Linked DNA regions of Oryzias latipes. The protein of the gene in region 1 interacts with the protein of each later gene in a biochemical or structural test. Links are inferred from orthologs where the notes say so. Each region holds a gene or a part of one and is shown in the gene's direction. Other genes may lie near its edges.

Region 1 (5,368 bases):
ACTATTGCACAGTGAACTATATAATACATTTTGATCAACATGACATAAACAATTGATAATGTAGCAAAGAGCAGAGAATTGTACATAATCATTTGCATGGATGTACCAAAGCAATTGCAACTTGTTCAAAGAAGTGAGAAACTGCTTACATGATGTGCACAAGTGACATCATGATGTGAAGATTGAACAAATAGTTTGGGGAATTTCATTCTGATCTGAGAATTGTCCTAAAGCGACTGAGAAAAACTGTATTGACATACAGTGCAATTATTTTGTATAATTTATAGAACACCGTATGTATAGACGGTTCGCTAACCCCAGAGGTATTAACAGTTTCGTGGGGCACGGTAACAAAAAAAGACAGGTGTTTGTAGGCGGTGTATGTGAAACCATAACTGTTTATTTATTCAAGTTCAGTATCGGCCGTCTTTCTGCTTTTCCCACTGAAATCACTGAAATCCTACACTACTCACCTTGTAGTGCTGTCCCAAACTATAATGCCAGAAGCAAATGCCCTAGAAATTCCCCTTAAGTGTGCATCAATGCTCACTAGATAGGGGAATATAGACAACAAGGATTTGCTAAAAAAAACATTTAAATGTATTTTATTTTAATAAAGCATCAATGTTTTTATCATCAGAATACAGTGGATTCAGAATTAGTTGTTGTAACCTGATAGTTAGGGAGAAGGGTGGGAATTCTGACGTAGCCTGTGACTCTTAAAGTGTCTACTGCGATGATGTAATGTGTTCAATTCAATATCTTGTTGTTGAATTATGCACCTGTTTGTGTTGTGTTCATTTGTGTTTGGACTTATGCGTATTTATGAACTGTCACCAACAACTTTAAAATGGTACTACATTCGAAAACAGGTTAGGATATGACCTCCTTGTACATTGATTAAATCCCTAAAATTCAACATTTACATGACCACAAGTGTGTGTGATCAAAAAGTGTACATCTGCTGATGTTGATAATACATGAATATATACATCTACATTTTCTTGAATTTATTCCTGTTTTATTTTTGTGATTTGCGCTTTTATTGTCTTGTATGATTCAGTTTCAAACCCCTGTTTAACCAGGTGGTCGCCCTTGGCGACATCCCTGACGGCACCTTGGTGACGGTGATGGCAGGAAACGACGAGAACTACTCGGCCGAGCTTCGCAACGCCACTGCGGCCATCAAGAGCCAAGTAGCCAGGTTCAATGACCTGCGCTTCGTTGGGCGCAGTGGGAGAGGTGAGCTGAGCGGTCACAGCCGTGCTCAGAGGTCATGTCAGGGTTAAAATATCCAACCAAGCCCTAGATTCTGAGATTTGTCAAGGCTTTGTAGAGTCTTTGGTGTGACCCAACCATGAGGTTAATAGTCTCAGGTGAAACTTTTCAGTTAAGCAGCGGTAAACGTTGCTAAAAAAGTGTCAACGTAAGTGTCAGGGATTACGACTTGGCTTGTGTAAACGTATTTGAAGTGTTTTCCACAAGTATACCGTGCAGAGTCCATAAAGTAGGGGAAGTACATCTGAATAAAAACTGTATTCACGCAACTTCCTCCCAACATCTGGTTCAGCGTCTGCCTCCTCCTGCCTCACCCTCCCACCCGCGTCAGTCTTCAACCGACACACCCAACTGCAGTTACTCCACATCAGTTATAGGCAAATGTTTCAACCGCTCTATTTAAAGCAGCAGACGTTTGCAGAGACTCCATCAGCTCTGCAGTAAAGAAAAAACAAACAAACCAAGACATCTACTGCTCAACCTGACAGGAAGTAGCTGAAGAGCTGTCACGATTGTTGTTTGGCCTTTTTTAGTGCTGTGGTTGGCCACTGTGAGTATTATTAATTCATCCACGGCCACATTCAAATGAAGTGAGTTCAAATAGCAAAGCATTTGTTTACATTCAAATTCAGCTCTACTCACTACAATCTACAATGGGATGAGTTTTCCCAGCTTCATTCAACAGGATCTGAAGATACAGCTGCAGACTGTTCGCAACAAGCAGGCCGTTGAGCTTTGAAGCGTCAACGGCGACGAAGGAAAAAGATGGACGAAAAGACATCTTCTTGTCCTTTGGTGGATTTATTGGGAGCAAAAATGTATGGCTAAAGAGCAAAGATGAACAAATTAAACTAAAGTCTGTGACCCAGAGTCACTACGTACATCTTGCACATATTGCACGGATGGAAATATGTCATATGTGAAGATACGTGAAAAGGTGAGAAAGGATGTGGTCTTTACGTGAAATTTTCACAGATGTATCAGGACTGAACCACGTTAAAACCACAGGATAAGTACGAATAAACCACTCAAAGAACACGTAAATCACCATACAACATGAACCGTGTGTAATTATTGCGCTGCTAATATCCAATTCATTATTGATTCATGCATCAATTACATAATTTGAACGCGATCTGGGCGCCGTATACTCGATATAAAAGTTATACATCAGTGGTTCATGTGTGAAAAGTCTGTTAGACATGCGTGGAACCGTCATGGAAAGCCAAACATTTGCATCTCATAAAAATTACAAAAAATTGTGTAAGATTCACGTAATAATTGCGTATAAACTACATGAAATACATGTAAACTACGTAATTCTCAACCAGCCAAAAATTTGGAACAGTTTAAAACTGGATTTACGTAAAGACCCATCGGCCAAAACCCCATTACAGAAATCTGAGCACATTGACGAATGACCAATGCTAGAAACACTCATGAATTGTCACTTATTAGTCACGAAACTTTCATATGTGGAAAATGCACAAAATGTACGTTGACACTGTGTTTCACAGACAAAAGACCTCTAACTTTGAGGTAATTTTGTACGAAAAGTAGAAAAACAATTCTAATTCTAGAAAACCTTGTCAGTGCTACTTTAGTCAGCTTAAGATTCCTACCTCTAAACTATTTGTGTGCATAAAAATAGCAAAAAACCATTGATGAAGCCCACATTCATTTCTGTACCTCTGGAGTAAAGCTACATACACGCCGACCATGTGTTGGGCGTTCGAGAACTTGCTGAACATGCATTTCAATACTTGCACTTACAGTTGGACGTTTCTTGGTGTGAAATGTCAAACAGTGCTAATCTCGTGAATCTTGCTCCTGGCTTTTGGACAGTTGACAATCCGGTGTTTTTAAAAGGACACTACCCAGACGTCCCTACCAAATCTGAGTTCCCGTTTGGTTTCAGCACACTTTTGTTTATCTTGAGCATATTTAAGATGAAAACCCGAGATAAGGAGAAGAGACGACATAATGCAGGCAGGTCAAATAAAAATACTTTGCGTTTTATTCAACGTGTTAGGGTCCTAAAGTTTAAGAACGCATGGACAGTTTGTATTTGCATGGTGTGTTTCATTTCAAGCACCATTCTAGAGGTACACCTTATCACACCTCCACCCTTGAGGTTGGCGGGTGTAAATAGAAACTAGCCTTATGCAAAATAATAGAAAATAAAACTCCATGGTGGAATTTTCCGTCCCACCACAGACACTTTGAATGTGTTTAAACTGAGTGCCTGGGTGTGTGGGCGTTCTTCTCATCATCCACAAACTGGTCGCAGACGCACGTTCGATCCAGGTTCCTGCAAAGAAGACACCAGTCTGACAAACTTGACACTCTGGAGTAAAGTTCTAGGCCTGCCTTACTGTCACTGGAACGACAGTTTGTCTAGCAAAAACACAGCCTCTGTTGGTAACCGAGTCTGACTTGGAGTGTCAGGAAGAGGAAGTCAACTGGAAGCATCAGCATTTGCATATCCACTGCGTGCCTTGCTCAAATGTTGATATGTTGGGAAAGAGGGTGCCCAGCGCTGCGTACAGAGGAAATTCCATTTCAACTTCATAAAGAATCCAAGAAGAGGCTTGTAATCAGTACAGTGGTACCCGTGTAGTTCTGATCAAGACCTCTCATCGTAAATTTGCTGGCCCCAGCTTGTGGAATGCACTCCCTATGCAGGTTAGGCAGGCCTGTTCACCGAGTGATTTTAAAGCCAAGTTGAGAACTCACTTGAACCTATGGGATTTTTTTCTCCATCCAATGGTAGGGGAGCGCCCCCAGACCATCGAATCACAAGATATTACAGTGCACCAAGAATCAAAGTAAGACTGATAAAAAATATACAGTCTTTCTGCCATCACTGAAAGAGTGGCGCAAGCACAGCAAGAGTCTAAAACACTCCTCACTGAACCCAGAACCAACTGGAGGTCTCTCCCTCTCAACCTGTGTTCAAACTGCAACCTTGGACATACGCAGATATTGTTTATGGCTCACAAAAATACAGCTGTACTTGAAGTTATACGATTAGCAAGGTGCTACTGCTTTAGCATCTCCAGCTTTGGAAATGTCGGTTCAGTTACCAAAAGGAGAAAACCGATCTTGTGTAAGAAGATAGGTGATGAGTTGTGAGGCCTGGTTTGCAACCACAACACGGTCACCCATTCTAAAAACTCTGCTGGTTCAATTCTAACCAGATGAATCTTCTACTGGAAATTATGTCCCTTTCTCTCTTGTCAAGAAAGGTCTTCCAAAATCATCTTTCCCTTACTCAACTGAAACAACAATAGACCATCAGTCTTTCCTCCAGGTCTTTCAATATGACCCCACATGGCTTTCCTAACCCCCACATGGCTTTCCTAACCCCAGAGACAGAGGTGTTCACCTCTATTTTTAGCTGTTTGCCATTGGCTCTGCTCTGGGCTCCTAATATCAAACCTGAACGTGCGAAAGATGCTTTGAAGATGATCCATTTCGGTCGTTCCCGTCTTCATTTTGGAATTCTGTCTTGACCTTTTCCTTAAGCGACCAGAGTCCCTTTTGCACCTATCATACATTATCTTCTTTAGTTATATTTTTGTTTTGATTGCTTGAAATAAACCAATTCCAAATCCAATTAATAATAACCACTAACAGGTTCTGAGGCCCATTCAGACCAGACTGTGACGGTGTCTGATTTTTGATCACCGCGGTGATGAACCTACAGGGGTGTGGTATCGCGGTCAACCGGAGCCCCCCCCCAAGATTGACTGTGTGTGTGTGTGAGCGCGCTGCGTTGTGTGTAGGACTAGGAGGACGGAGTGCGGTCATGTGTGTTGGGTTGCCTGTTGATTCTTCTGCAGTGGACCGCTCTCTAGCTGCACGCTCTCTGGTACAGACATCTTCTCAGAATATTATATATTGCCCAGGACGAGCTGGGCCCCAAATGACACTGCAGACTCTTTGTCACCTTTCTGGTAGCCATGAAGCCTGACACCCATGAAGAACGCAGGGCCTTTGTTCATACAGACACGCAACTTTGCGCTGCACAAAATAGTTGCTAAACAAAACATGTAATGATATTCATGGAAATCTAACAGCGCGCGTT
Region 2 (5,966 bases), on another chromosome or scaffold:
AGCGATCTAACAACCCAGCCGGGCTGCTCGGTGTCTGGTTTCATTCCGTTGCTCTATGGAGTCAGCAAGCAGAAAAGAGCCGCTGGTGAAACCAACAGCGCAGACAGAGCTCTCACTCTGCTCTACTTTCTCTGCACCTCTCATCCTACCGCTGCCGGTTTACAATTTAATTAGACGGAGGAGTCCCTCTGCAATACAGATACGATCTTTGTTCCTTCTTTTGCGTCACTGACGCGAAGGGGTTGGGTGTTGCTCGGCAACCAGGAATGTTCAACAAAACACAAAAGTGGGGAGAAAAGTCGTAATAAATGAAACACTGTCGTCCTTTGACATGAACAAATGACCACAATGACACCACTGTAAATAATTTAGACTTTAATTATTAAACTGATACATTTAAAATAAACCAAAAATAGTTATAGATTTTATAATAGCCATTACCACTTTTTTCTTTAGAGGGGTTATCATAAATTTATGTAAACATATAATTATGTAAAGTAATTGCAGCATATTATAGCGGTGCACACTTCTGCTATTTAATTACATTTTTATAAGAACTAGACATTAAAAAAAAATATAACAAGCATAATTCTGTATACATGTTACCTGGGTTCAATACCCAGGGCGTGCAATGAGCTGCCTGGGTCTCCCTGTGCCTTGAAAAGACAGGCCTGTGTCAGGAACGGCATCTGGCGTAAAAACTCTCTTCCAAACCACCTGTGCTGAGTGCTGTGGAGACTCATAACGGGATGAACCGAAAGGTGAACAACCTATTTTATAGATATTTCCATATACAAATCAGCAAGCAAATGTAAAACAAAATAAATAAGCAAAAGGTTGTCTTATTATCAAACTTCCTTAAGAGCACTGAGTCAGGATTATTGGCCCAGCTTCAAAGCTGCCTCTTGTTGTCCCTTTTAGGTGACAGTTGCTGAGTGGGATTTAAATCAAGTGAAAGGTGGAGGATTCCCTCTTTCCTTTGGGGGAAGACCTTTGTGAAGAGCTGGGCACACCTCACCTAGACTAAACTAATCCGCTGTCTAGGACAACTATTGCAAACAAAGCAATTGCGAGCTGAACACGCCCTTTTATGGGAACAAGCATTGCATCAGGGTCAGGGTGTGAACTTCTGTCCCACTTTGAACTGTTCTTAATTATGTTTATCCAAATAGAAAAATCACCGCGTGGAAAAAGATTTCCACATTTTAAATATGTGTCCAAATAAAAAAGTAAGATACAAAACTGGATAAAGAGGAGAAAAAAAATGAAACCAGAAGAGAACGATCATTTCCCTTAACTGTAACTTCGTGTGACATTTAATCCCCCAAAATCTGGATGTTTAGTTTTTGTTTACTGTTCTTGTTTGGGCAGAACAAACTTTTCGTATCGTTATCCCGTTTCTTTTGCAGTTTTTTTTTCAGCAGCCTCGCTGTTTGTTGTCTTACGTAAGGTCGTGTCGCCGCTCGGCCAATGTCGGATGGTGTGTTTCCCATCAAGGTCCGCCCCTTTACAGGATGCACCATATATGGTAAATGACGTAGGATTCGGGGATCCCGATCCTGTTTATGGAATATTCCATTTCTTGTCAAATTGAACATTAAACGAGCTCCAACGGGTTTCTTTTTGCTGTTTTATTACAAATAACTTGTGTTTTCGCTAACTATGACTGTATATTGACGAAACAAAAGCCATAATTCCCGCCACAGCGGCGTTGCTATGTGATTGTTTGGCGCTTTCACTCTCACGGTTTTAGGCTCCTCCCCCGCGCTGCGTCACACCACCAGGAGGATATAAAACCGATCTGAGCGGCTGGAGCAACTAGATCAACTTCGATTAGCAAAGTAGAAAGTCCTGCTCCATTTCAGAAGAAGCGCTCAAGGAACTTTCTCAAAGCCACAAAAAGGAATTTACCCACTTTTGAGAGGAGTTTTACTGGAATCTTCCTTCTTGTTTTCTCCGGGAAGTATGATGTTCACCGCCTTCAGCACAGATTGCGACTCTTCCTCCCGCTGCAGCACCGCGTCTCCGTCCGGAGACAACCTGGAATACTACCCGTCACCTGCGGGCTCTTACTCCAGCATGGGATCTCCTCAGTCTCAGGTAAATTGAAACGACGATTGCTTAGATGGCTTCACAGTCTTTTTGAACTTTAATTTATAATTAAATTGAGTGAAAGTCAGTGGGCCAGGTTAATTCAAAACTTTTTCAAATTAATTTGAACATTTTAGAATTAATAAATAAAACCTGAAAACAAGCTACTTTTTTTTTTTATAAAGAGTCATAAAAAATTAATTAAGGAGCATGTTTGTCCTGCTGCACACAGAGCAAGGCAGTTTTCACTCCACCGAGGATACATAACGTCAGAGCTGACATCATTGAGATATTTTTAAAGCCCAGTGTTTTAAAACCCTCCTGAAAGCATCACTAACTTCCCGACTCCCCTCCCTCTTTCTCTCAGGATTTCACTGACCTGACAGCATCAAGTGCCTCCTTCATCCCCACGGTCACAGCCATTTCAACAAGTCCAGACCTGCAGTGGATGGTCCAGCCTGTGGTCTCCTCAATGGCCCCCTCCCACAGAGCTCACCCTTACAGCTCCAGCCCCAGTCCTGCTTACCCCAGATCATCCCTGAGGTCTTCATCCAAGGCTTGCTCTTCCAAACGTGGCAAAGTAGAAAAGGTGAATTATCTTTTTTTTTTCTAAATCTCAAGTGATGCAACAGCTGAAATGTGTTTTTAGAGCTGGAGTCTCAACTTGTTGTTTTGTTCTTGCAGATAAGCCCTGAGGAGGAAGAGAAGAGACGAATCCGCAGAGAGAGAAATAAGCAGGCAGCAGCTAAATGCCGTAACAGGAGGCGAGAGCTCACAGACACCCTTCAAGCTGTAAGTATCCCTTCAGATTTACCCTCACTTATTGAAAATGTGTTCTTTCCCAGAGCTTAATAACCAATCCAACATCCCACTAAGTGACACTTTCTTTCTTTCCCATCTGATAGGAAACTGACCAGCTTGAGGATGAGAAGTCCAGTCTGCAGAATGATATTGCTAACCTGCTGAAGGAGAAGGAACGGCTGGAGTTCATCCTGGCTGCCCACCAGCCCATCTGCAAAATCCCATCAGAGCTGCAGACCGAGGTTCCCCTGACCTCAATCTCCTCCACCCACCCATACCTCTCCACCACAGAGTCTTCCATGCCCACATTTACCTCCAGCCAGCAAACCATCCCTCCAACTTCCAACTCTATTTTCTCCAGCTCCGTCCTCTCCACCACCACCTCGACCACCACGACCACCACCACCTCCGACAGCACTGTCAAGATGACAGACCTCGAGGCTTCCATTCTGGAGGAGTCTTTGGACCTGCTGGAAAAAGCGGACATAAAGACGGCACAGTCTGTGCCAGAGGTTGACCTTTCCAGCTCCCTCTACAGTAACCAGGAATGGGAGCCTCTTCATGCCTCTTCAACCAACATTGACTTTGAGCCCCTGTGCACACCAGTGGTGACCTGTACTCCAGCCTGCACAACCAACACGTTCTCTCTGGTGTTCAACTTCCCAGAAGCTGAGACCTTCCCCACCTGTGGCGTTGCACACAGGAGGGGAAGCAACAGCAATGACCATCCCTCAGACTCTCTAAACTCACCCACCCTGCTAACTCTTTAAGGACTTTCAATGAAAAAAAAAAGTATTTCCTCCCATCAAGTCTTGAAATATTATCAAACTGTGCAGAGGCATGAGCTTTGGAACAGGAATGCACCAGATGGCAAATCATATGTTACCTGCCTTTATCTCTACTTGCCTATTAACACCAATGTAGCAAGTTATTAAGCATGATTTATATATATTTAAAAAACAAACACCTAGTTGTTCTAAGTTACTATTATATTTATGGTGCTAGATAACAATACTTGTTGTCAATAAATGTGTTTTCAGAGCAATAGCTGTATAATTCTGGTTTGTTTTTTGTTATTTAAATGTCAAAGTAGATTTTTTTTATTTTATTTTTTTCATTAAACTGCTGTGGTGCCATGGTCTGCAAGTCCATCAGACTGTGAAGTTTTCTGTGAAAACATTGTAATTTATGAAATTTGTATTTATTTATTTTTACAGACGAATGTTGTGCAAATAAAAAATATATATTAACGCAGTTATTTGCCTGATTGTCACTTTAATCATATACCTATCGAGAATAATGTTGAGATATTATACACAGGTTTAATTTGAGTGTCTTCCGCTTTCGTAAGCGTCAGTAGCTTCAAGCTATTTTTCTTCTGTTGCCAAGGCTAACTGTACGTCAGGGCTTTGACGTCAGTGCGTTCTCTTGCATTTTCTTTTTGTCCTGAACGCCCTGCGCAATCACGTTGCACTTCCGTGCCCAAATATAGAATTCCAGTGGAGTCGGTGGCTGTGCTGCGGGCTGACGGCTCTTTTTTTTTTTTTTTTTTTTCTCACTTCCGCTTATATTCGCACATCTCAGGGGTTTCTCTGCAAAGAGAGCCACCGAAACTGTCGGTATATCCAACGGAAAGGAACAATAACTACGCTGGTTTGGTAAATTAGTCATTAGCCGTTCTGACCGAAAAAGACGAGACAACAGAGCGGATACAAGATTACGTTTATTTTGATTGACCGTGCCTGAGCAGGGCTTGTTTCGCTGGTACCAAAAGCAAATCATTCTGAATACAATATTTTTATTTTATTTCGTTTTGTTTGATCTGCAGGGTTCATGCACTTCAGTTTATATCAGAATGAAAGAAAAAATCTAATTCTTTATTTTTTTCCTGTTTGGTTTATTTCAATCAGTAAAAACAAAATAAACAATTTAAAAAAGTACATATATCAAACAAATTTAAGACATTAATATGTTGTAATATAAAGTTTTACACAATTTCATATTTACAAATTAACTTAACACTTCTCAAGTTACGATTTGAAATGGTTTGTGTGTTGGAGATGTTGAGTGAAAATGATTTTGTGCACTCCTTGTAAATTTTGTCATAGGATTTTAATCATCTTTCATGTTTGCTCGTCCCTCATCAGTGCTTTTCCTCATGTCATCAGAAGGCAGGTTGCCCAATTATGACAGGAAATTCTGTGTGAGGACAGAATTTCAGCAGACTAAGTCATTTAGGTCACACTCATTTACGTTGCACAAGACAATGTCTAAGCATTTATTGCCTCATGTTATTGGGTGACACGTTAAAAGAAATCTGGTCTTTTAATACTTAAAAAGTGAAATATCATGCTTTAAAACCACTTGATGCTTGGAATAAATCTGTTTTGACCCCCTTTCTTTGATGCCAAGCAGTTGTTGCATAACAGGCGGATTCTGCTTGTCAATTTTTGCTTGCGCTAAAGCTCTTTTTTCCTTCATGAAACTTCTTGGTGTGACCACGCAGTGCCAGGAAAATCTATAAACGTCTCATCGCTGCGCCCGGGGAGACGAGGCAGCGGCAAAAATAACAGCAGGTGCCTATTGCTGCGATAACAGCAGCATCAACAGCAGTAAAATTAGACTGCTGTGACGCCAGCCTGCGTTGGTGCCGCAACCCTTGGGAGAAACCAGCCAGCGTACGCTGATGCAGGGAGAGGAGGAGGAGGAGAGGAGAGAATGACGGGTATACAAGGATGGCAAGGAGGGAGACAGACTCAGATCCCAGCCTCTGAAACTGAGAACAGCAATGATGAAACACTTCGCCTACATGCCAAGAACAAAAGCTCTGTTGGGACTGGCTCTGTTTTCACATAAACTCTTCCTCTGCCACTTTTCTAATGAAGGAAGGTACAGCTTTAGGAAGTCATTCAGTCTTTCCCTGTTGTGCTGTCTTAGATGACCCCACCCTTACTTTGACGTGTTCTCCCTACCATGACAAAGGTGGATAAAGGTGGAAAGATTTCATGTAATCCAAGGACACCAGTGAAGATCACAAATCATTGAAGAAAAAAAGGTTCAGCGCACTGTCTAGT
Region 3 (6,103 bases), on another chromosome or scaffold:
AAAGTGAAGGTGACAGTGGTGCCTGTGGTAATTGGAGCACTCGGGGCAGTAACCCCCAAGCTGGAGGAGTGGCTACAACAGATACCTGGAAAGACCTCAGACCCCTCAGTCTAGAAGAGCGCAGTGCTAGGAACAGCTTTTTTTGTTTTTGTTTTTTGCTAGGAACAGCTGAGATCCTTCGCAGGACCCTCAAGCTCCCTCTGGTAGAGGACCCGAGCTTGGAGGAAAAACCACCCATGGAGGGTGAGACAGGCGTTATTATATATTCAGTGAAATAATGTAAACCACTGGACTGTAATGTTGATTGTTGATGTGCAGGGGCCTGTTTCAGAAAGGAGGTTCAACCAACTCTGAGGTTAAACTTGAACTCTGAGTTGGTCTATCGAGAGATTAACAACTCTGAGTTTCCTGTTTCAGAGAAGCTGATCAGAGTTAGATCAATCAACTCTGAGTGGACTGATTCGGAGTTAAGCGTGCGCACCGCAACTATAAGAAGCCATTATCAATGGAGCGCAGATATTACGAGTCACCATGGCAACCGTGAAAAAAAGAGGTCTGCGTATTTTTCTCCAGCTGAACTTGACATGCTGCTGCAGAGTTACAGTGAATATGAGCACATATTCCAGAAGAAAAGCAACACCGCTACATCTGCAAAACAGAGACAGTTAGCGTGGGAAAACATAGCTGCTCAAGTTAATGCGCAAGTTTGCATTTAAATCATTGTTATAAAATATTGACTGTAATAACTTTTTAAATAGCGTAAGGTGTGAAATAAAAAATGGTGATATTTAGGTGTACTTTTGAAGTGTTATTCCTGGTGTAATTGCATGAAATGCTGCATAGTGTACAGAACCAATCTGGGGGAAAAAATGCATTTAACGTCGGTAATGTTTAGAGGACTTTTTTGTTAACCTTCCCCTCTTGCAAACGTTGGTCAGTTTAATATTAATACATGCAATTGTGTTTTTAAAAGTGAACTTTTGTCTACCCTTGTATTGATCAAGTGGTATAGGTTTATATGGGATTAAGAAAGTAAGCAGTGCTAGCAAATTGTGTTTCCAAAAAGTAATTGTTACATTAATCTAATTCAATGTCCCTGTTTTCATTTTCATGTAGATGCAATCCTGCAGGAATTAAAAGAACACGGCAGCAGCTAAAAATGAAGTATAAAAACATAATTCAATCAGGTCAAATTTGAGCATGTCATGGATGTAGGCTTTGTTGACAATATTTGACATATGAAACATCTACATAGCAATATCTAATGTTGTTTTCATTGTATATATGTAATTGACTGCAATGAAAAACGGTAACGCTCAAACAAAAACGTATGGGGAAATGACAAAAAATCGAGTCTAGGTCTCAAAATCCTCGTACGAGGTAAATGTAATTCTCTACGAATTAATGCAGCCTCCTCGTCTATTGGGTCCTCCAAAAAAGGACAAGCCATTCTTGTCACTTGTCTCTGTGTGACGGACATTTGGGCAATGAAGGTTAAAGCGAAAAATATCGCTTCGTCTTTAAAAAGGGGAGGGGACCGGCAGAAACCTTGAGTTTAGAGAATAAAACCTGCTCCCCACCAGGTTAGGTTCACAGCGTAAGTAACCATGGACACTGACTCAGAGTATAAGTTACCTCTCTTTCAGAAACGGGTTTGACTTACTCTGCTTTCTCTGGTTTAACAAACCTCCCATTCTGAAACAGAAAACCCAGGGTTTCCCTGATTTCAGGGTTAACGCACTCAGAGTTTACACTTAACCTCCTTTCTGAAACAGGCCCCAGGTGGCACATTATCTATAATGTTTTCTTTAACCTATTGTGTCCTTTCTAATAGTTTTAGAAAGAAAACTCAATGTTATTTATTTAAAAAATAAACACATTTTCTTGCTAAGTTATAAGAATAAAATCATTTTAAAAAATTGAGAGTTTTTGAGAAAAAGCAAAGTCCAGAGTATGGCCAGAAGAGCAGCTGGATGACTACATTGGCTGCATGTAGGCCTGGTGCATGAGAAACCCGGGTTTGATTCCCATGGGGTGCAATGAGCTTCATCCAGTGTTAGGCTCCTGCCTAACTATGTAGCCAGAAAGTGTCGGTCCCGGCCTAAAGTAAATACAGGATTGTGTCAGGAAGGCCATTCAGTGTACATATCTCTGCCAAACCGACTGCAGATCAGTGAAAGCTGAAGGGATATGGTGAACAGCAACAACAGAGGATGAAGACGAGTGTAACAACGAGAGACAGCTTTCCAGGGAAACGATTAAGACTAAAACGACGGTGAAGATAAAAATGTTTAATACAAAACAAAAAGGAAGTAAAATTCTTTAAAAACTATTAAAAGCGGAAAAAATTAAAATTTAAAAAGAAAGGTTTTAAAAGGAAAAAAAGAAAGATTGAAATATGGAAGTCAACAAAGGGACGGTTTCAGAAACGAAAAAAGCTGCAAGCACTAAATCTAAAAACCAACGAACGAGAAAGGAAAAAAACTTTAGTGGGGAGACAGGAAGACTGATCCAGAATGTGTTTTCGTTCAGGCACGCAGACAGGAGACCTGTATGACGTCAGCGCGTCCAGCTACGTTCCCGCTCGTTGATTAGCTGTTTTGAACAGCGTCGAGCGCGCTGATTGGTGCGTTTTGAAGCCGAGTCCTGCGCTCAATTTTAAAGAGTGTCAGCTTTGTATCCGCAGCGTGAGCAGCGACAGCACGGAGGTAAGAAGCGGCAACCGTTAACGGCTTCAACCGGTAGATCACGACATGAAATGGTACCGCTTTGATATGAGGAGAGGCGCGTTGGCGGACGGACACGCGCCTTCCGGTAACGGCTCGGTTCGGTTTTCCCCCAACCTGGTTTTCAGATTTGGAGAGGCCTCAGCTGGCCGGTGAAAGTCGGTGGGGTTGGTTCGATTCCTACTGTTTTTATTCTGTCTCTGTAACGTCGAGCTGCTCGTTTTACGGTTTTCAGGCCTGAACGTTCAGCGGTTCTCAACGGAGGATCTGACCGTTTGGAGTCTGAACATCTGCAGAAGTCCGAGCTGAGAGGATTTGTCTTCTCTTTCAGGGACAGATGGAGGACTACGTGAAAATAGAGAAAATCGGAGAAGGTTGGTGGAGTAAAAATGTTTTTGTTTTTCTAAAATGTTGTCCAGATTTTTTTGGGGGGTGAAACCCACCAAAGAGGCCCACCTGGATGCTGAACTTGGAAGTCCTTGAAAGTTCCTCCACCCGTATATGGAGATGTCCCAGGATGACGTCTCAAGCTTTGCTTTGGTTCAGATCCTGGCTCTTCATTCTGATCATGGTCCCCTGCACCACAATCTGAGTGATGGGGTGACTGCAGTGGTTCTGGGACGTCTGAGTCCTCATCCCCTGACTCTGCTCTGGTGTCTGCAGGGACATACGGGGTGGTGTACAAAGGCCGGCACAAGTCCACGGGACAGGTGGTGGCCATGAAGAAGATCCGCCTGGAGAGTGAGGAGGAGGGAGTTCCCAGCACCGCTGTCAGGGAGGTGTCGCTGCTTCAGGAGCTGAAGCACCCCAACGTCGTCCGGTATGCTGCACGTGTGCGCTGAACAGGTTCCTGACATTAATGTCCATGCGCTGCAGGTAAAATGCAGTGAGGTGATGTCCGGGTCAAAGGTGCTGGGTTTTAGTCCCTCTTGTCTCATCTGAACGTTTGGGGATAATCCAGATGTTTGTTCTTGTTCAGCACTTCTTTCTCCTTGAACTCTCCTGTGGATCCATGATTGTTCAGAAGTCCCTTTCTGACTGTTGGATCATGAACTCTGACCTGAACACGTGCACACGTGTAATGGGAGGCCTCCACTTGCTTCCATGTTCTTTCCAGAGGGGTCCTGCTTGGGTTTTTAACTCTTTAGTCCTTCTGTAGGGATGTTCAGAGTAGCGTTAATGCCGAATCCCTCAACTCCCTCCGCTGATCTTGGAGGTGCAATAATGGTTCCACCTTTGTGTTCACCTGAAAGGCTCTTGGATGTCCTGATGCAGGAATCTCGCCTCTACCTGATCTTTGAGTTCCTGTCCATGGACCTGAAGAAGTACCTGGATAGCATCCCGTCAGGACAGTACATGGACCCCATGCTGGTCAAGGTAAAACACTCAGCGCTTCGTTTTTAGATTTCCTACTCTTTGTTGTGACAAACGCTTTCTATTAAGCTGAACATCCCGGTTTCAGCTGGGGGAGGGGGGTCTCTGAATGATAACACACCAGGTTCCTCACTAACCACGGACTGCAGCTCCAAACATCACAGATCTTCATCAGTTCTTCTGAGGCAGCCATGATGCTTTGTGCTGCTTGTCTGTGAGGATGTTCTGGTGTGGAACTAGCAGTCTACCACTTTGAGCCTGTTCCCTTTTCTGCCCCCCCCTACAGAGCTACCTCTATCAGATCCTTGAGGGCATTTACTTCTGTCACCGAAGGCGGGTCCTCCACCGCGACCTGAAGCCCCAGAACCTTCTGATTGATAACAAGGGCGTCATCAAACTGGCAGACTTTGGCTTGGCCCGGGCCTTCGGTGTTCCCGTCCGGGTCTACACCCACGAGGTGGGAACCGCTCCGCTGCAGAACCCAACGCTGAGGTCTGCTCAGCTGATCCAAGCTTCTCGTTCTCAGGTTGTGACTCTGTGGTATCGAGCTCCTGAGGTCCTTCTGGGTTCCCCCCGATATTCAACCCCAGTGGACGTGTGGAGCACGGGTACCATCTTTGCTGAACTCGCCACCAAGAAGCCCCTGTTCCACGGAGACTCCGAGATCGACCAGCTCTTCAGGATCTTTAGGTACCGTGTGGGAGAACTATTCAGCTTCTTTCAGCGCACACACACACACACACTGATTCTACAAGGAGAAATCAGGTCTTGAAGAGTAAAGGGGCTCTATTGTCCGTCTGCAGGACTCTGGGGACCCCCAACAATGACGTTTGGCCGGATGTGGAGAGCCTGCCTGACTACAAAAACACTTTCCCCAAATGGAAGGAGGGCAGCCTGTCCTCCATGGTGAAGAACCTGGACAAGAACGGCCTGGACCTGCTGGCGGTGAGAAGTTCTTCAGATTATGAATAAAGTAGATCAAGTGGACATTTCTCATGGGGTGGGGTCAGCTGCAATCTCTTCGGGGGCTCCAAAGAAAAGCACCAAACTAAGGAACATTTCAGTCTTTTTATTCTTTAATGATCTCAGAACACCCTCCACCACCACCGGGGGTCAGCAGAACCCTTCAAAACCAGACCTTTACTTTTGAACATCCAGTTCCTCCTCAGTAACCCTCCTTGTGTTTTTAGAAAATGTTGATCTACAATCCTCCCAAGAGGATCTCTGCACGTGAGGCCATGACCCACCCATACTTTGATGACCTGGACAAGTCCACGCTGCCCGCCGCCTGCATCAACGGCGTCTGAAGGCCTGAGCCCCCCCGTTCTTCTGTAAATACTTGTGTGTTTGTGTTGGAAATATTTTCCAGAAAAATGTGTGAATAAAGGTTTTCATCAAGTGTTGGTGGGTGTGGCTTTTGTCCCTGCTGATGTCAGCAACCCTCTTCAATCCTGCCAAAGACCTGAGATGTTTGTTCTGGCTGCTGGATTTCTGCATTAGATGCAGAAACATGAAACCAAAACCATTTTAATAAAAGGCCACTAAGGTACAAAGAACTGATTTAGTCTCCCAAAACCGATCTGGAGGGAGCTACACCTGAACAAGCTTCTCTGCCCACCAGGAGTCTTCTTCCTCATGTCTGATCAGCTGCTGCCCTCCTCTTCCTCCAGCAGGAACTCACTGATCTCGTCCTTCATCAGAGACCTGCAGAAACGGCAACAATAAACAGCTGAAAGCTGCTTGGCCAAACCGCTCCGCCTTCAAGCGGAGTAAGTCTGAACATCTGCAGCGTGAAGCTCGTGTGGAAAACTGACAAACCAGCAGGTCTGCTCACAGAAACAGGACTATTTTAGAATAAAATCCAGTGATGACTGAGAGGTCAAGAATGACACTTCACTGTTTTCAGGAAAAGCTGCTGATGCAGTCTTGTGTTGTTCAGAAGCTTAAATGATGCTTAAACCTAAAACTACATGGAATAAAGGTTTGTCCTCACCTCCTCTTCC
Region 4 (5,820 bases), on another chromosome or scaffold:
CCGCCTCAAACACGTCTGCAAGTGTCAGCAGAATTTAGCTTCAGCGGGTCTTCATGCTCCAAACGACAAAAGGCTTCGTCTGCTGGATTTTAATCCCGTTTGACAACCTTTAGGAATTTTAGTTTTAGTGCATTAAACTTCACACGGCAGATTTTCTAACAATACAATGGTGCCTTCGTACCTTTAGGTTCACCTACGGTGGCCCTGAAGTTCAAATCACATCAGCAAATCACCCAAAGCATAAAACCACATTAAAAGTTTACCACGAAAAATTAAAAAAAGCAAAACAAACGATCTGACGGGATGATGATGTTTGTCTACATTTTTGACAGGAAGTTATTTGGTACGAGGCGATGTATTCCAACAGAAGAGATTTCTTGAAGCTTCTAGCCCCGCCCACTGCAACAACTTCTTCCCACGGTTCAGGTAAAACCTCCTTCTGCTTTCCTTCTTCTTCAAAACTCAAACATTTTCATCCAATCAGGGATGTCCAACCATTGTTTTACACTTTCTGTTTTTTTTACTTGTTCTGTCCAACAGCTGAGCACACAGCTGACTGCTGAAGGCCTTTTATGTTGGACAGGTTTGACTGGGCACACAAGGTATATATTTGAATAAACCCCTTTTCCCAGAGAACTCAGGGATCCCTCTTACTCTCCCCACCTTCCTTGTATGTGTATTTGTGTGCATGCATGTGTGTTGGAGTCTATATTGGCACTTATAATTGGCGGGTAGGGCACTGAGGGAACGTCTTCTGCTTGTTGGAGACAGTCTTTCTCTAAAAGGATCTCTGAAGTTGGTTCCTTCCTGTGATGGAAGCAGTCGCTGAAGGAGGAAACGCAGCAGCAGAGGCGGCGTCCTGCAACCATCATTTCAAATCTGACCGTCGGCGTCTTCATCCATGTCTGAAGCACATGAGAAACTAAAGACTTTCCAAAGGGATTTACATTTTTCACTGAAGATTTGATAGAACTTGAAGCTTTTCTGAGGATTTGATTTTTATTTTTGTCTCCTAAGGGATCAATATCGGCTCCTCACAATCTTCTGGACTGGAAGTAAGGAAGGAGGAGGTTTGTGGACAAGCTGTAATCCCAAAGATGCTTCTGCTAACGCTCCATAAAAAGCAGATTTACGGATAATTAAAAACAGTCATTTATATTTGGCAATAAACTCTCTGGACACTGTGTCTTTTTGGAAAATTAAAAATGATGGTAGGACATATATTTTTACTGAAACGGCCTCGTCCCAGTTTGGTTTTCTTTATGATTAAGGTAACTTTATGAAGCGTTTGGGTTTAATCTCCTAAAAGCGTACAGTCTTGCAAAAGGAGAAGTTTGCTGCTGCTGCAAAACTTCAAAACTTTCAGTTCATGAATTGTTAATTTCAGAAAGATCAGGAAGGTTTCCTCATCTTTCATGTGGCGGCTCTAAAGGTGGAAACACTAAACATGAATCCTTCTACCAGCAGTGCATTCAGGGCTTATTCACTTTTTCCAAATGTTTTATGTCTTGTTTCAAATAGAGTAAACCTCAGGGAGGCGTCAGTTTATTAAATGAAAAGGGCCTTTTTGACATTTAAACCTTCAAGGCACCAGAACCTGGGTTTTTTTGCATCGTTTTTCTTTATTTGGGCCTCAGAGGTCCACAGACATTCCCTTTCTGACATGTTCTGCTGAATGAAAGCTCTCATGCAGACAGGTAGGTGTCCTCTCAAACCCAACCGACTCCAGAACCGCGGGTGGACGTCAGTGAAGCCCACGCATCTCAGAGATGATCCGAGCAAACAGGAGACACCGGGGTTTCATTTAAGCCTTTGACGCACTATTGATGCAAACCGATGCTTCTGCTTCATACTCACCTTAAAGAAAAAACAAAGTGTTTTTTCATAAAATTTCCGGGGGTAAACAATTACTTAGTTTTCTTTTATTTTAAAATCTTTTCTTTTTCCCAGTGTCCAAAAAACAAAAGTGTTCTTTTTATGATTTTGTGCTATTTCAAACAACAATAAAAAAAAATTTCACCCAACATTTGCTTTAAGGGATTTCAAACATTTTTGTCTAAACATATATTCTTACGTTGAAATAATAATAAATAATATGATTGTATTATTCAATATTATAGAGTCTCTAATATAATTTCTATTGTCTATGTGGAACTAAGTTTTGAAGTTTAATAATAAAACTGTAATATTTTATGTTTGGAGTACCATTGTACAAATGTAAATACTAAGATCATGAGGACTTGGTTTTAACCAGTTCGGAAAATTGTGACATTCTGACAATTTTTTTTAATGTAATTCTTGTGGCAAATTGAACACATCTTTTATTTTTTTACAGTTCCCTTTGATCCAACAGTCGTAGTTTTCTTTTGCTCAACCTTTCCTCTTCTGAGTATTTTGTCGTACCGTTTTGTCTCCGTTAGGGGGCAGCAGAGTTTTTGAAGATTCCAAAAAGAGGAAGAGGTTGTTGTTTTAAAAGAAGAAGAGTGTGAAGTTCAGGGAGACTTTGTAAACGTAATTTTGAACGGTAATGTGTTCTTCTTGAAAGGTTATTTGTTCTTTGGTTAATAAAGCCGCGTACTCTGGTCTTTGAAGTGTTTGGCTTTAGAATTAAAAAACACACAGATCTACTCAAGAAATGTACATTCTCCCATCTGTCCCCGACTCACCACAGACTTTGAAAAAAAAAGAGGTAATGAAGGACGCTTTTTGTATAGTGGGGTTTAAATGTAAGCAATTTAAAGTCATTTAAACCAGCAACACTAGCAAGTAGATATTTATGTTTGTTTTGTGCTTGCATGTTTTTACAGATTAAAATTCTGTTTTACGAATCTGAGTTGAGCCAACCTGTCATCGGTTTGAATGCAAAAATTCAGAGGGCGCGTGAAGGCAGCTGGTGGAGCAGAGGAGGAACCTTAGCAACGCAGTTGTAAAGCTAGCGTTTCCCCTGATAGAAATGTCAACATGCACCTTGGTGTTCACGGAGAGCGCGTAGTGTTTTACCTGCAGGCCTCTTCATGCTCCCACGTTCATAATGAAGCTCTTTAGTGAGCCAAGCTAGCCCCGCGGACTTTGGCTTTGTCGTAGCCCCGATCGGCTAGCTAGAACGAGCCGCCGTTAGCTTAGCTAGTACCTCGGTCGGTGAATATGGCGATTGTGTCTGGATCGTGTTCCCGGGTGAGCAGCTCCAGAAACGGGCCGTCGGTGTCCGCCGCGCCGTCCCCGTCAGTCGGACAGTCTCAGCCAATGATAGCGGTGTGGGAATGGCAGGACGACCAGGGCTTCTGGCGGCCGTACAGCGGCCAGGTCTGCTCCCACATCGAGCGGTCCCTGTCCCCGCGGGGCCACCGGGGAGCCGGACCCAGCTCCACCAGCGTCTGCCTCGGACAATCAGATCCCAGTCTGTCCCCCTACCTCATCGACATACCGAGCCTGAAGCAGTTTCGACAGGATACAGGTAAACCGCTTCAGCACCACACCTGAAGTCCGGATTCAGATCAGAGATTCTGGTTTCCGTCGTTCATTTTGTCTTTTTAAACTGCATTTCTGAGAAGATGATGTTGGTTCAGTCAGCTGGTCTAGAAAGCAGCAGTACACTTTAAGTTTATTTTATTAAGTATACTTGAGTACACGTATAGCTAGAATACTAGAGACTATGTAGATTTAGTGAAGTAACTGAGTATTTCTTGGAACATTTTGAGTCCAGGAATAGACAGTATGGAAGTGAACTTCAAGTGCATCACTTTTAGTATAGACCAAGTACCTTTTGTAGTACTCTTACAAAGAGTACTGTCTTGCTGAAGGTAAACTCATTTGCGGGTTTTTGTGCAGGAACCACGCGCTCCGTGCGCCGGTCTCTGTTCCCCCAGTCTTCGGGCCTCGGCAGTGGCGTTTACTGGGAATGGGCCAACGATGAAGGGGGCTGGACTCCGTACGAGACCAGAACTTCCATCCTTCTGGAGCACAGTTACCAGGCCCGCCAGGGGACCGCCGACCTGGGCCCTCACGGATACAACTACATTGTGGACCTCACGTCTTTCGCCCAGGTCAACAAATCAACGGGTTTCAGACGGCAGGTTCGTAGACTGGGCAACTCCCCGTTCCCGCTGGCGTCCCCGGGGCCCCCGGCTGTCCCCTTGGGGCCGGCCTGCTCCTGCCAGCAGTGTTTGAGCCACAGCAGCACGGGGCCCATGCCCAGCCGCTCCCGACATTCCTTTTCTTCGGGGAGTCTGAACCGACCCGGCCTGCAGGGACCAGGAAGGGCAGCCGCGACCCACCCCACTTCCGTCTACTCGCCGTATCCCCGGAGGCCCCACTCTGTTGGGGGGATATCCTGGGGCAGCCCCTGGCTCCCCCCTCCCTCTGCCAGTCAGATCTCGGCGTCGCACCTGAGCGGCTCCGCCAGCGCCAACGGGCTCAGGTGGGTTCCGCCTCTCTGTCCGGGGTTTCTGGTATCTGCTAAAACGCTGCCGGTCCCGTTCCAGTCGCCAACACGGATCTGAAGTCACTTTGTGGGGTCAAATGGTTTTACCTGAACAAATGTGGGACAGACATGGATAAAATAGGAACTCTTACATTTTGATTTGATTTGATTTTTGATTTGAAATGGTTTATTTCAAGCAATCAAGGAAGAAAAATACACAAAAACAATACAATCAGCATATTTTATTACATGTTTTATCTTTATCCGGTTCAGAACTTTTATCAGACAGAATTAAGAATCTTTTGGTGTCAATAAATCTCATGATAAAGATGAATTTCTTAATTATTATGTAAAAATAGACATAACTCTATTTTAGAAATAGCAAATGCAGATCAATTATCTAAAATATAAGCTGATTATATTCATTAGAACAATGATGTATATGATTAAAAAATAATACTATATCAGTAAAATAGACATAACACTGTTTCAAAAATCTTCAATATCAAAAATTGATCAAAGTTCAAAAGTTAAAAATATGTGCAAAATTAAGTTTCATTAAGAAAAACCATGAATCCATTTTTGGAGCAAGTGAAGTAATGTAATTAGAAATCACTCATTTTAACCATCTTCGATAATTGATTATGCATTATTTTTATCTTTATTTTATCTTTTTTTTATTTTAAGGTAGTTCTGTGAAATCAAATAAAATGAGAATAAAATCCTTGGTTGTGTCTGAATTCCCACCCTAACCCCAAACTACATAGTGCAGCACTGTGTAGCGCCCTGAATGTTAAAGCGATTCGGACGCCACGCTCACTACTTGTATTTTTTAGACGGCGGATATGACGTCATCGATTTCACAAAGTTAAAATCGAACTGATATGAGCGTTTTTGGACGAGTATTTATGAGTCTACTGTCTTCTGAAGATAAAAACATTAATGATTTATTAAAAAAATACATTTTAATGCATTTTTTTTTTTTTGCCAAAAATTGTTTCGACGCAATGCATTGTGGTCTATATGTGCCGTTTTTTTGCAGACACTTCTGGGAAATTTCAAGGGCACTCCATTTTGACAGCACTAGAAAATCACTATGTAGTGCACTCTATAGGGGTTAGGGCTGGAATTCAGACACAGCCTTTGTTTTGCCACCAACAGTGAGAGGAAAATGCCTTCATGGATGTGATGCATCAATTCTGTAAATACAGCTTTTGTCGGCGTTGAAAGCCGCCCTGCTTTTGGTGGCAGCGAGGATTTGCTCTGCTGGGGTTCTTCCATTTCCCACCCGCTTCTCTTCCTGCCTCATCGCTGAGCCGCCCTGCAGGGCAGCAAAGTGTTTTCTCAGGCTCACTTCCTGTCACTCCTGAGTGCATCGTCTGACCTTCCTTCCTCTTCAA
Region 5 (5,368 bases), on another chromosome or scaffold:
ATTTCAAAGGGGGCAGTCGTTAAACCTCGGATCAGCCAATAGGAGACGAAGCGGGTTTTGATTGACAGGAGGATTTGTGAGCTTCTTCGAAGAGAACTGGAGGGAAAGGATGATTGTAAACACGGAAGTCATCAAGCCAGGACTACTTTTTTTGCTAGACCTGCTTGTTTTTAATTTTTTTTGTAAATTCCAACATAGCTTTCTCGCTTTATTTTTATTAATTTCCTTAAAACATTTCAGTTATTTATATATTTTTTCCGTTTCATAAAACGAAAGGTTTTGAAATTTCCAAATGGCAGGAAATAGTCTTGAAATTTAAGCATTCATCTATAGTTAAGCTGGCATTTCTGGCAGGTTCTCTAGTGTCCAGGACAGCTCTGTGGAATTTAAAATCTACACCAAAATATCCAACACGTGTCCCATCTTTTTATTTTTATTTTTGGTGAATGAGTGAGAGAATCTAAAGATAGCAGATTTGTCGTCTCTGCACGGTGCCTGTTGCCTTAGAAGGCCAAACGTGGACTGTGGTGTAACCATATCTCTTGTGCCTTCCCATTGAGTGACAACAACAGCAGGTGTCCCGGGCTCATTCTTAGGGTCCCAGAGGAAGCAAAGCTTCCCTCACAACAGGCTGCAGTTAATTTTCGACTTAACGGTTATAAATTCTCTCAGGTGAAGGGTTTAAAGGGTTCACATATAATAATCTGCCACAATCAATGGTCGGCATGTGGACTAAAACATTTTTTGTTATTATCTAATCAAAAATAACACTTGTAGTTTGTTTTTTGTACTGTAACATTGCAATTAAAACCGTAACTGTTTTAAAAACATTTAACTACTATGAGTGGCTGAAAAATTGTAGCTTTTGTTGTGGTGTTTTTGGATTTTAGTGAGTTAGTCATGCTTAAAATGCACCCAATAAACAATTAGACCTACCACTAGGGGGCGTCTTTTGTGTTACTGTTTTTTTTTTTTTTTTGGTCATTGTCAGCTTTTTGGTATTTTAAATTTTTTTTCTGATTATGATGGACACATTTAAAGAAAATGAAGCTTTTCTGAAATTGCATTTCTGAGGAGCAGACGAAACAATGCTGCTGGTAAAAGCTCATAGCAGTGACATTGGTGCTGCAATCGGCGGGCCCCAAGCTCCCTGCTCCGCTCCATTCTGATGCCTCCACTTGTAGTTGAATAGATCTGTTGACGTTTTTGTTTTCCTCGTCCGAGCTGGTATTTGGCTCAGAACTGTACAGCTGGATAGCTCTAATATTGCTCGCCGGTTGTTACTAGCTGTAAGCTAGCCAGGGAGTGTATAAACAGATGGATGATGGGAAATGGGGGCAGGCTTACTCCGCGTCAACGGTTTCGTCCACAACTTGGAGACCGCTATCTAACAATAGATTGAAAGATGATTAAACATAAGAGTTTTTCTTGGATGAAAATGACTGCTTGTTTCACTAAAAGCTGATCTTTTGTCAAATCTTGACTGTTGCAGTGGAGGCGTCTGTTCACTTCACCAGCGTTCACTGCTCAGACAAAACTATAGAAGCTGCAGAGGCTCTGCTTCACATGGATTCACCCTCCAGCCTCCAAGGAGACCGAAGTCCAGGTAAAGAAAAAATAAAAAAAGCACACCAACGCCGTCCAGCTGTTGTCGTTCTTGTGCACATGTTCTTTAAAGACAACTGCAGTTGGCCGCCGCAATAAAGATCTCTCCTGTTTGATTCCTGCGCAGATACTTTAGTCCCACCGTGTGAAGTGACTCCGGACTTCCTCCTGGCTGCCATGCGACCTGACATGATTACAGACACAGAGGTGGAGATCTCCACAGAGGAGTGCTGCGAGGAGGAAGATGAGATGGTCACCTCCATGGAAGAGCCAGAGCTTGATAACGAACCTGTCAGAAAGAGACGGGGTACGTGTGAACGGAGATCTGTGCTTAGGGAAACGAGAGGGAGAAAAAAATCTATAAAAATGACATTTTATTTAAGAATCTTGTAATAAATTTGGAATATTTGGTGTTTATGTGCACTAATGAGGAGGAAAAAGCTGTTTAAGATGAATTTCATTACCCGGAATCGCCATCTAGTGCATATTGTTCTGATACTCGCAGCTCGGCTCACCAAAATGTTTCATTTGTGCAGCTGGAAAGAAGCCGAAGATCCATCAGACCACTTTTTCTAACGGCTCCGTGGATCTCAGCATTAAGAAGAAGCCGAGAGAAGGCAAAGGTGTGTGCCGGCCACGTGCGGTCAGATCTCCAACCGCGTTGGTCACAATGCAGGTTTTGATGCTCTGAGGAGCAATGGTCTGTGGGTAAAGTTTGTCTGTTTTTTTCGGTGTGCACCAGGGAGCACCACGTACCTGTGGGAGTTCCTGCTGGAGCTGCTGCAGGACAAGAACACCTGTCCCAGGTATATCAAGTGGACTCAGAGGGAGAAGGGCATCTTCAAGCTGGTGGACTCCAAGGCCGTGTCCAGGCTTTGGGGCAAACACAAGAACAAGCCTGACATGAACTATGAGACGATGGGACGAGCGCTCAGGTGGGGAGTGTTTGCACTGTCAGGAAAATTCTTCATAAAAAAAGACAAAACTACAGAATCTTAACATCAGGGTTTTGGTTCGTCTTCAGATATTACTACCAGCGCGGCATCCTCTCCAAGGTCGAGGGCCAGCGGTTGGTTTACCAGTTTAAGGAAATGCCCAAAAACATCATCATCATTGACGACAAGGCGGACATGTCGGATGACCTGATGGCCTCAGACACGGCGGCGTCGTACGAGCGCGTCCCTCCTCCATCCGACATGTTGCTTCAAGCCTCTGAGCTCCCGCCTTCAAAGAAACCCAACATTCTGAGAGGAGCCAACAGAGCCGGCGTGGTCCAAACCTCCGTCGCCGCGAGCAGCAAGTCGCCATCAGGAGGCGGAGCCACCATCACTACAGCAGGGCCGAGGATTGTCGCCGTCTCGTCGGCTCCGGACGGGAGCCAGAGCCGGCAGCAGAGCACGGCTGGGATGTCCAACGCCGCCGGGCCGAGGTTAGAACCCCTGAAGGGGCAGCATCGGTTACCCAACGGACCGACATCTCACGTTTTCTGCTTTTCAATCGCAGGACGGTACGGGTGGCAATGCAGGTTCCTGTCGTCATGACAACATCACAGGGCCAGAAGATCTCCACCGTGGCTGTGCAGCAGCCAGCAGGGGCAGCCAGCCCCACCACCATCCTCACCAGCGCCTCCAGCGTCGGCGCCGCAGCCAACGCCAACTCCCAGCAGAAGGTTTGTTGGACCCCAAGCTGAAGCTCTGGAAATGTTTTCTCTCTGAAAAGCTTCCCTAAGTGTTTCCTGTCCATGCTCAGGTTGTGATCCAGACTATTCCAACCATGGTCCCGGCCACAGCCGAGAACGGGGATAAGATCACAGTCCAGCTGGCGAAGATCATCACCATCCCGGCCCACCAGCTGGCCCAGTGCCAACTCCAGGGAGGCGCCAACAAAGCCAACGCCGCCGCAGTCCCGCCTGCCGGCATCAGCCTTCTTGGAAGCCCCCTGACGGTCCGGGCGCTCACGCCCGTCAACGTTGTCCCGGGAACGCAGGTGATGAGGCTCACCGTGCCCCCCCAGACCCAACAACAGACTCTGGTGGTGTCGCAGCCGGGGAGCATGGGCGGCGGGGCGGGCGTGGTGACCGTGTCCGCGGGGAACCGGGCGGTGGGCGCGCCGCCGCCTCACATCATCGGCGGCATCATCAACGGCACAGAGCTGGTCATAGGACCGGGCGGCGTCACCGTGGAGAAGCTGAAGGCGGCGGGCGCCACTGCGCGGGCCCTGCAGGTGCAGCCCAGCCCGGCGAACCCCCAAACTGTTCAGAACCTCAAGCCGGAGGCTGCGGACGCTAAGGTGGTTACCAAACTGTTAACTCCAGACGGGATTAAGATGGAGGAGCCCGAGTATTAAAACATTTCTTCACCTCCTTTAGACTAAAGCTAGTTTTTACATTTCTGAGGTCAATTTTACTTTTACCTGTAATAACCAGCAGCAACCTGTGAGACTTTAAAGGTTTGTTTTTAGTCCTTCTCCCCGTCGCTGCCTAGAACTGACACGGACTGACGGAACCTCCACAGAACCTCCACAGAACCTCCTTAGGTCTGGATCTCTGAATCATAGGAATACAGACTTGAAAAGGACCAACCTGCATCACTACAGGCCACGCCTTCTGGCCGGATCACTGACAAACGTCAACACTACACGAGGCAGAGAGCTGCAGCCAACCACATTGTAAAAAGACAAAAAGATAAGCTTTTTAAAGTGTTTCTACTTCTAGAATTGTTCAAAACCAGCAGTTTTTATTTGATTTTTATTTTTTTTTACACACGTGTATCACTGTGCAGGCCGAGGGCGGGAAGAGGAAGGTGAGCTGAGGGCAGTTTGTCAGACAGGAACTCGTCATGTATGTATATATATATAACCGTCTATACAGCTTATGGAGCTAATGTTAACAGCAATCCTAGATTTCAGCTTTTTTGGAAATGACGAGTAAAAATGTGTGTTGAAATACTTTGTACCAGGCGCAGTATTACGGCAACGGGACTAACATTTGTAGTACAGTGGTCCCTCGTTTATCGCGGGAGTACCAAAAATATCATGACTTTTTCAAGGAGTCTGTATGTTTTAAGGCTGTAACCCCCCACCCCCCATACTTCTACCCTTTTCTCAAACAAACGCCAACATTTCCCCCTTTTTTCTTTTCTTGTTTCAATGTTTGAAACCACCTCGAAAAATAAGTTCAGGGTTATAGAATTAAAACAAAAACATCTCAGATTTATATGGATTTGGCAAACTGAACGCATTCTGTACAGGAGACAGTACAGAGATTGATTGACAGGGTCAAAAAAAAAATTCAAGCAGACAAAATTACTGTTAAGTACTTTGATACTTAAGAGCAAAACGAGAGATATGAATAGTTGTCAGAAAAAGCTATGGACCACATACTCCAGGGCTGCACGGTGGTGCAGTGGTCAGCACTCTTGCCTCACAGCAAGCGGGCCCCACGTTCAAGTCCCAGCTGGGGGCAACAGGACACCAATGGGGAGTTGACACTGGAGCCTTTCTCCCTCCGGGGACTCCGGCTTCCTCCCACCGTCCAAACACATGGCTCTGAGGTTCATTGGTCACTCTAGCTTGTCCCTAGGTGTGAATGTGGGAGCATGGGTGTGTGGTTTGTGGCCCTGCGACAGACTGGCGACCCCCCCCCCCCCCAAAAAAAAAAAAAAAAACGGTTTTAGAAGATGAATGAAAGTTACTCTTAAAAAATCTGCAAATGATGAACGGCGTTACATCAAGGGACCACTGCATGGATCTATTTTGTTTCTGT

What was found.
Region 2: the proteins of runt-related transcription factor 1 (region 1) and c-fos form a complex in vitro, tested with the Homo sapiens proteins (2 studies listed by BioGRID). The link is inferred for Oryzias latipes from reciprocal best matches to the Homo sapiens genes RUNX1 and FOS.
Region 3: of the proteins of runt-related transcription factor 1 (region 1) and cdk1, one has a biochemical effect on the other in vitro, tested with the Homo sapiens proteins (2 studies listed by BioGRID). The link is inferred for Oryzias latipes from reciprocal best matches to the Homo sapiens genes RUNX1 and CDK1.
Region 4: the proteins of runt-related transcription factor 1 (region 1) and probable E3 ubiquitin-protein ligase DTX2 form a complex in vitro, tested with the Homo sapiens proteins (2 studies listed by BioGRID, with this or other methods). The link is inferred for Oryzias latipes from reciprocal best matches to the Homo sapiens genes RUNX1 and DTX2.
Region 5: the proteins of runt-related transcription factor 1 (region 1) and elf2 form a complex in vitro, tested with the Homo sapiens proteins (2 studies listed by BioGRID and IntAct). The link is inferred for Oryzias latipes from reciprocal best matches to the Homo sapiens genes RUNX1 and ELF2.

The regions. Positions count from the first base shown.
Region 1 is NC_019860.2:1,352,365-1,357,732, forward strand, and holds part of runt-related transcription factor 1, read left to right. Parts: intron 1-1,085; coding exon 1,086-1,242; intron 1,243-5,368.
Region 2 is NC_019882.2:17,150,768-17,156,733, reverse strand, and holds c-fos (c-fos protein), read left to right. Parts: upstream 1-1,820; 5' UTR 1,821-1,965; coding exon 1,966-2,100; intron 2,101-2,458; coding exon 2,459-2,680; intron 2,681-2,775; coding exon 2,776-2,883; intron 2,884-2,996; coding exon 2,997-3,262; coding exon of another isoform or gene 3,263-3,298; coding exon 3,299-3,662; 3' UTR 3,663-4,146; downstream 4,147-5,966. UniProt on the Homo sapiens protein: Nuclear phosphoprotein which forms a tight but non-covalently linked complex with the JUN/AP-1 transcription factor. In the heterodimer, FOS and JUN/AP-1 basic regions each seems to interact with symmetrical DNA half sites.
Region 3 is NC_019873.2:1,585,145-1,591,247, forward strand, and holds cdk1 (cyclin-dependent kinase 1), read left to right. Parts: upstream 1-2,700; 5' UTR 2,701-2,708; intron 2,709-2,748; exon of another isoform or gene 2,749-2,893; intron 2,894-3,057; 5' UTR 3,058-3,063; coding exon 3,064-3,100; intron 3,101-3,389; coding exon 3,390-3,546; intron 3,547-3,979; coding exon 3,980-4,103; intron 4,104-4,386; coding exon 4,387-4,557; intron 4,558-4,626; coding exon 4,627-4,790; intron 4,791-4,903; coding exon 4,904-5,045; intron 5,046-5,149; exon of another isoform or gene 5,150-5,290; coding exon 5,291-5,407; 3' UTR 5,408-5,503; downstream 5,504-6,103. Other genes in the region: ctu2 (cytoplasmic tRNA 2-thiolation protein 2), read right to left, coding at 5,744-5,804, 6,094-6,103. UniProt on the Homo sapiens protein: Plays a key role in the control of the eukaryotic cell cycle by modulating the centrosome cycle as well as mitotic onset; promotes G2-M transition via association with multiple interphase cyclins.
Region 4 is NC_019872.2:28,222,917-28,228,736, forward strand, and holds the start of probable E3 ubiquitin-protein ligase DTX2, read left to right. Parts: upstream 1-2,504; 5' UTR 2,505-3,144; coding exon 3,145-3,454; intron 3,455-3,828; coding exon 3,829-4,417; intron 4,418-5,820. UniProt on the Homo sapiens protein: Regulator of Notch signaling, a signaling pathway involved in cell-cell communications that regulates a broad spectrum of cell-fate determinations.
Region 5 is NC_019859.2:5,671,239-5,676,606, forward strand, and holds part of elf2 (ETS-related transcription factor Elf-2), read left to right. Parts: intron 1-1,492; coding exon 1,493-1,606; intron 1,607-1,732; coding exon 1,733-1,912; intron 1,913-2,141; coding exon 2,142-2,228; intron 2,229-2,347; coding exon 2,348-2,540; intron 2,541-2,629; coding exon 2,630-3,034; intron 3,035-3,108; coding exon 3,109-3,274; intron 3,275-3,354; coding exon 3,355-3,951; 3' UTR 3,952-5,368. UniProt on the Homo sapiens protein: Isoform 1 transcriptionally activates the LYN and BLK promoters and acts synergistically with RUNX1 to transactivate the BLK promoter. Isoform 2 may function in repression of RUNX1-mediated transactivation.